Arabidopsis thaliana: one gene and its partner. The protein of the gene in region 2 interacts with the protein of the main gene of each other region in a pairwise test. Each region holds a gene or a part of one and is shown on either strand. Other genes may lie near its edges.

Region 1 (3,501 bases), 4.8 Mb from region 2:
ATTAGATAGTGGTGTTTTACAACCAGTACTATAAGGCATAACCTTGAAGCATCTATAGACAAGATTCTTATAAAAAAATCAGCCTACTACACCCAATTAAAATCTTTAATTTGAGTTATATATTTTAACACCGTCATTTCAATTTTTCCATGATTTTTAAGCCCAGCAAATCATAATCTGGCTCTTGAAATTTACGAACCCAAAAATCAAACCTCCAAATGATATTGGGCCTTTTAACTGGTCATACTTTGATCGCTACTTCTACTTCTAAACTTCAACTTTCAGTTCATAAAACCCAGATTTGACTTTCATTTACTCTCCTTTATTTTTTATGCATGTAATATACTATCACATTTTTATAATCATAATTTGTTTTACAACATCAAGGCTATGATTGATTCATATGAGCTCACATGGGTCTGCAAAAATGTAGTTTCTAAATTTGGAAGGCTTTTCAAATGGTGTAAATTATAAACTTCACCAACCTATTATTAAAACGCATATAATGTTTATCCCATTGCAGTTCGAATTCATTCATAATATAAGTTTAAACTTACTTTATAATGTAAATTCATACAAACCCACTTGAAATGTAAATTCATGTAAAATATTATACAAGAGAATGATAGATAGTCTTTGATTATACAAACCCAAATTTCATACAACGTAACTAATTATTAGAACATATTACGCAAAACTACTTGATCTATAGATCTACACTAATATATAGTTATGGAAAAGAACAATAATCCTGTACTATACAAACCCAACTTCAGACAACAAGAACATTTTTTTTTCTTTTTGAAAAAGGTATAACAAAAACATTACTCAAATTAACCTATTTGATCTATAATTTTTAAGTGAAAAATATAGTCTTGAATTATACAAACCCAAACTTCATACGATCATGATAAAAACATGACTCCAAGTCCAACATATTTTGATCATACTACATATATATTGAAAACATATATAAACACCACAATAAACATCATGCACTATACGGTGATTAACTTTCAACTATATATATATATTGTATATGGTTACGTGGATCGAACGTGAGGGAAACCGCTGCAAGCTTAATGATGACGATGACCGCCGAGTCGAAGATCAAGATCAAGATCACCATCTTGAGGTTGAGAACCTCCGGTCTCTGGTGGGCTCCGGTGAGTGTCATCATCTTCATTCATGGATCCGAGCCCTAAGCTCAAATTAAGATCATGAGACGCCCCTTGAGCAAATCTCCCTCCTCCTCTTGATGATGATGATGATCCAAAGTATTGTGTGTTGTGGCTAGGGTTAATAGGTGGCTGAGACCCTTGGTGTAGGTATGACTCAATGGTCGGAAAATAAGGAGGAGGGTTTGTGAAGTTTGTGGAGGAGGAGGGAGACTGAGATGGTAACGGAAGAGAAAATGGAAATGAGTGAGAAGAAGAAGAGGAGGAGGGGTATCTTTCGCGTTCCCTGCGGTGGATGTTATTGTGACCACCGAGGGCTTGAGGATTCGTGAAACCTCTCTTGCAGATGTCGCAGTCATAAGTCCGGCGGTTTTCTCCAGAGCCAGAGCCGGAATCAATTTGTTTGTCCCGGTGGTTCATCTCTCTCTTCTTCTTCTGTTGGGATCTCTCTCAAGTCTCAGTATTCAATGTTTTGAAAATGAGTGTATGAAGCTTCTTAAAAACACACACCAGCGTATATATAAGCTAAAGGAAAGATTATGTGTGTGAACGGACACTAATTAGGGCTAAATTGTTTTATCAATGGTTAATATATATACTTTAGGGTCTTTAATGTACTTAATTACGGGGGTGTGTATTATAATTAAATTCGTGCGTCTAATGTAACATGAATTAATAACTACAAAAACGTCATGCTTAGAATTATTTTAATTAGTTTATTTTCTAACAATTTTCAGGGAAAGTTTAACAAAGGATAATATAATAGATAAAGTTGAAAAATATTCTTCATAGGAAAACAAACTACAGAAGGTGTTATTTATAAGGTTTCGAGTGACTAGTTAGGGTAGCTAGTTTCTCTCTATTCAATTTCATTTTTGTTCAAGAAAAATATAAAGTTGTTCATCTTTGAATATAGTACAAAAAAGTACTTATTTGTTTGGATCGAGAGTAAAAATTGCAAAGTAAAATTGTAAAAATTGGAAGGCTAGTAGGAGCTAGTGAAATATTAAAGCTTAGTTAAATTTAATCTAATATAGTGTGAAATATATTTTGAATGTGAACATGTAATACCTACAAAATAATAAAACCAAATTTTTTAAAAGAAGCATTCACTAAGGAGTTGTGGACTTGTGGTTGTGCTTAAAGTAGGTAAAACAATTAAGAATATACAAATTGCTCTCATTAATTAAATAGCATTTATGAAATTTATTATGAGTTCTCCCCAAAACTGAAATTGATTTCGATGGTTTCTATACTTAGAAAAATATGCTTTAACAAAAACAAAATAAAACTTAGAAAAAAATACGATCGATGAGCGATCGCCTGCTACTCTTAGGATTGCTAAAATTAATATTTTACTGTATTCAATTTCAGAACCGACAAAATAATATTCACCTCCATAAACTTACTTCGTTCACACCGGTACCCTTTAACTTCTATGGACCGATTGAAACCGCGTTTTATAAGTTCGGTTTTAGCTATTGCCATATCGTTTTTTAGGATATAATAGAACGTTTAACGAATCACGATGGATCAAAACTCTCTATATATGCAATGGAAAATAATTATAGCCTCAAGAAAAATGATATTATGGAAGTTGAATAGATTTGTTATTATGTAGGCTGACTTCCTTTTGGCGTAGTCTCTTTTTAGTGAGATCATGCAGATAATATATAGTAAAACAAGTATACCATTATGTTTTATGGATTTAGATAAAGAACTATTGTCATTCGTTTTCTATAAGCTGATCAGGAGCATTAATGTTTTATAGGATTTCGAGAACATGTGAGAATCCTACTGACTTAAGAATATTCACTAGTGAATTTATAACAGACGAAAAAGAACTTTGGGACTACAGCTCATCGTAGACTTTAGCCTCCTAAAGCTACATTTATTTCTTTCATCAATAACATTTGTTTCATAAAACCCGCACGAACAAATATTCTAAATTGGCATGTGGATAAGAAACAAACTCGGTCAAGGTAAGGTCTATATAATTAAGCTTGATAAAAGAATCATACGGAAAAAATATCCACCAACAGTTTCAATATTTATATGTGTGTTTGGACTTGCGGGTGATATACAACATTAATAGTAATAAACTGAAAGAATAGTGTATGCATATATAGAAATGCTCTATGTAGTGTTGGAGACACTACAAAAAAAAGGTTGTTTTACATCATTTATTATAAATATTTGCATTAGTTAAAAGTGATGTAAAAGAATTTTGTATCATTTAAATAAGTGACTTAAATATTGTTGATGCAAATAATTTGCATCGGTTAATTAGTAACCGATGTAAATAATCAAAATAATTACATCG
Region 2 (4,431 bases):
TTGAGATGGAGAGTGAAGATGCTTATAGAATGGCGTTGAAGACTATGGTTAAATGGGTGAAGAAGAATATGGATCCATTGAAGACGAGGGTTTTCTTTGCTACCATGTCTCCTACTCATTACAAGTCAGTAACTTCTTGAACTTTACTGTGATTTAACTATCTATAAACACTTCAAATTCAAAACCAGGAACCAAAAAGAGAGGAGATATATGGCTTAGAACAATGTAGTCCGGATTTGGTATTGAATGAAATGAGTAATGGAGTTTAGATTGATCCGGTTTATCTTTAATAGTTTAAGTAAATGTGGCTTATAACATGATCCGCAATTAGAAACCACACTAAGATTTAGCATACAAAGGTTTCATATTTGTCTACCTCCATGATCAGGGGCGAGGATTGGGGAGGCGAACAAGGAAAAAATTGTTACAATCAAACGACACCGATCCAAGACATGAACCATTGGCCATCAGACTGCAGCAAAACCTTAATGAAAGTGATAGGAGAGGAATTAGACCAAAGAGCAGAGTTTCCGGTGACGGTACTTAACATTACACAACTCTCTGGCTATCGGAAAGACGCGCACACGTCAATCTACAAGAAGCAATGGAGCCCATTGACGAAGGAGCAGCTAGCAAATCCGGCTAGCTACTCAGACTGTATACATTGGTGCTTGCCTGGTCTTCAAGATACTTGGAACGAGCTTTTCTTTGCCAAGTTATTTTATCCATGATTCTTTTCTCTAAATTCAAGATTTTTTTAGAACTGTAATTGTAAATTATGGTTATAATTTTTGTTAATTACGTACACTTATTGTTCTACAAAGAGAAGAAAGAGAGAAACTCTGCTATTCGCTATATTAACTCAATAGATGAGAAGCAACAGTTCATGATCCAAGGAAAGAACAAAAACTATAGAGTTATTAAATATTTTTTCATTGTGAATCAGATCATTAACACCTATTTCTTGTTTCTCCTATGATCAATCCAAAGATTATGTTGTAGTCTTGTAGGACCATTGCCTCAGAACTCTCAAATATCCAGAGAACTCAAACCATTGAACTCGTGACCATCGTGTGGCTCGAGATGAAGCGGATGCAAATCATAACTACCAGAATTTACGTGGTTTTGGTCTTGGCTCTGATGGGGACCAGGTTCATTCAAATCTCCAAGGAGTTCATTAATATCAAAGCACTCATTAGGATCCCAAGAAGTCTGATCATTTACAATATCATTAGACCAAGGCCAACCGTAATCTGCAACAGTAAGCAAATCCGGTTGCAGCTGTTGCTGTTGCTGTTCCTGTTGCTGTTGCTGTATCTCCTCTTCTTCCTGCTTCGGTTTCTCTTTCTCCTGCAAAACTTGGCCCCAATACTGCTGCTCAAACTCTAACAGCAAATCGTAATTCAGCGAAGAATTCATATCTTGATGTCCAACCGTGCAACTGTCCGGCCTGGTTCCACAAGACTCTTCTCTAACATCTAAAATCTGACTAAATGGATTAGATTCACAATCAGTATCTTCATGCTTCACACAAACATCACCACAAACAACCGCCTTATTTTCAACCGTACACACCTCAGATTGACTAGACGTACTAGTAAACTCAGACCCAACAGACTGAGGGAAGTTAAGACGAGCCAATGAACCGTACATAGCGGTAGCCGCTTCATCATAAGCGGAAGCAGCTTTTTCCGCGGTAGGAAAAGTACCAAGCCAAAGTCTAGTTCCTATTTTCGGTTCTCGAATCTCTGCAACCCATTTACCCCAAATCCTTTGTCTAACTCCTCTAAAACTACAGTGAGAATTATCTGGTCCTCCTTTACCCTTCATACAACCTTTCTTCGACCCTTTCGCAGGAACTTTGCGTTTCGGTTTCTCTCCTTCTTTAACAGCCGAAGCTTCAACAATCTCGTTGTACTCTTTCCACTTCTTTAGCCTATCAGCCACCGTTAAACCACCTGCTCGAGCCCTAGATTTCCTTTTCTTCGGCTGCTCGGTTCCGGTTTGTTCATATACAGCCATCTTCTTCTTTATAGTCGCAATCTAAGAATCTACAAGATAGGAAAAAAAAAGGTTTTGAATCAGTCTCTTCCTCTCAATTTCAGAAAACAGAAATTATCGAGTCACGGAATTTATAGTTATAAAGAGGAACAGAAACAACTTGGGCACCAAGGGTGTTTTACTTGCTCACCAAGTTTTACTTTATTAATAGAAAAGCAAAAATCGCATTAGAATTTCCAATTTTTTAACCCGAGTCTTAGATTAAAGAAACCGTGTAAAAAAAAATAAACGCTAAATTAGAAAATTTCCCAAATTTCTCTCAAAAACAGCGAAACCTAAAAGGATGACATTTTGAACAAATCAATGAACACGAAAACATCTAAAACCCAAAATTCATCAAACCCAAAACCCTCTTCGAGACTAATTCAGCGAAAAATCGACAAACCCAGAAAAGATTAATTGGAAATCAAACATACCTATCGTGAATGATAACTCCAGGATTAGAGTCGAATCTCTTCTTTATTTAGGCAAAAATCTCTTCTTTATCACGCAGATGTTGTTTGTTGTTCGTGTTAAGTCGATCAAAAGCAAATCTTCTTCGCAAGCTTTCGCGTTCTTTCTAGCGTCTCTTTTTTCTTTTCTTTTTGTAAAGACAACAAACTTTTTACAGAAATCAGATATTATCAAGAGGTCGAAAGGGTATTTATAACTTTGTCTAGATATTTCTGATATTTTAATGAGAGTAGTAGTGACATGGCACTTATTAATTCGAATTGTGGATCATAACATTCCCCAGTGACGACACGTGTTGAAATTTTCACCACACAAAAACACGCTCTCAATACGGGTAAGCAATGGGAATCCTTACTATAGTTGATAAACACATACAGAAACATATTTAATACAATATGTACATGTTAAGACTCAAGAATCACAAAACCATACTAATATTTTAAGAAATAAATATTTAAATAATGAAACTTAATTATTAAGAAAGTCTCATTTTAAAGATTATAGTCAATATTTGAACAATAATCTGATATTTTGAGGAAAACAAATTAACAGTATGTTATGAATAATTTATAACCAAAAAAGTAGATTTATAATCTATAATATTTATTTTCTAGTATGGCAGTATATTAAATTGAATAATATACATCCAAAATTCCAAAAAATAAGTAATCAAACAAACACAAAGCAACATCACAACCATGATTATCACCATCACCCACAAACTTTTCTTCTGAATTCATTTCATTCTAAGAGAGAATATACGAAGCACATCAAACAGTGTTTTATCCTGAAAGCATAAAATCAGAGAAACACACAAATAATTAACGAGATTCTAGTTCAGTTATAGGTTTTTTGAACTCCAAAGCTCGCATTAATTAATTTACAATTAGTCTCTTCTACTAAGTACAATAACTCTAAGTCTCTAACAGTAATCATCAAACACAAAGCAAATGTCCACGCATTATCAATGAGACAAAATCAAACTCGTCATCACGGTCTTCAATTATCGGTCGGCCTAAACCCCCATAATTTGGAAATCGAAGCTCGCGAATTTGCTAAGGTTTCATGCGGACTACAGAACGTTACATGTTGACGACGGTATGAAGAGAAATTGCGGCGAGACACAACCGATCTTACGTTATCTGTTCTTTCTTTTCAAAAAGGGGAATACTTATACTCTTCTGAGTTCGGTGGAATGTGATCAAATGGGCCTGCGTTTTATTTTTATCCTCCTATGTTGTTGGGCCTTAGCCCGAGTTTGTTTTTCAGACTGATGCACAAAATTGATAATATCCATCTCTGAACTAATAATATCAGACTTATAGACATAGTAACAAGTCGTCCAATTTGGTTGGGAAAACAACTTTTCGAAGTTTCCTGTACGTAATTAAAGTAAAGACAAAATGTGTGGAAATGGACTATTCAACATGAAGACTCTTTTAAGTCTTTTCGTTTCAACGTGAAGAACACTTGGTAGAAAGACTGGTTATATAATGTGAGTCAAGCTGTGTTGGATTTATCTTTGTGGAGTAGAATCTATTACTATGTCTATAAAGAGATGGGCACGAAACCATCTTATTTACTACCACAAACTCCACTTTCTTTTATCAATATTCAAGAAAATTCGACTAGCTAGCTAGCGTAAATTAAGGAGGATGAAAGGCTCTTGGGTGGTCTCAACGAGTATCATTCGTATTACTCTTTCTTTTACTTTCTTATTCATTTGTCATTTTTCGGACGTGCTTGCGGCTCCTACTAGGCACTTGTGTCGTCCCGAACAAAAGGATGCACTTCTCAAGTTCAAAAACGAGTTTGAGATTGGGAAGCCTTCTCCTACTTGTAAGATGGTTGGCATTGAATCTCATCGGAAGACGGAGTCATGGGGGAATAACAGCGACTGTTGTAATTGGGAGGGAG

The links.
Region 1: the proteins of DREB2B (region 2) and URO interact in a two-hybrid assay, tested with the Arabidopsis thaliana proteins (one large-scale study listed by BioGRID).

The regions. Positions count from the first base shown.
Region 1 is NC_003074.8:8,248,676-8,252,176, reverse strand, and holds URO (C2H2 and C2HC zinc fingers superfamily protein), read right to left. Parts: upstream 1,659-3,501; 5' UTR 1,599-1,658; coding exon 1,080-1,598; 3' UTR 694-1,079; downstream 1-693. Other genes in the region: AT3G23145 (ATP binding / aminoacyl-tRNA ligase/ nucleotide binding protein), read right to left, coding at 1-39.
Region 2 is NC_003074.8:3,453,600-3,458,030, reverse strand, and holds DREB2B (DRE/CRT-binding protein 2B), read right to left. Parts: upstream 2,677-4,431; 5' UTR 2,478-2,676; intron 2,052-2,477; 5' UTR 2,023-2,051; coding exon 1,030-2,022; 3' UTR 732-1,029; downstream 1-731. Other genes in the region: TBL32 (TRICHOME BIREFRINGENCE-LIKE 32), read left to right, coding at 1-124, 389-731; RLP34 (receptor like protein 34), read left to right, coding at 4,170-4,431. UniProt on the Arabidopsis thaliana protein: Transcriptional activator that binds specifically to the DNA sequence 5'-[AG]CCGAC-3'. Binding to the C-repeat/DRE element mediates high salinity- and dehydration-inducible transcription.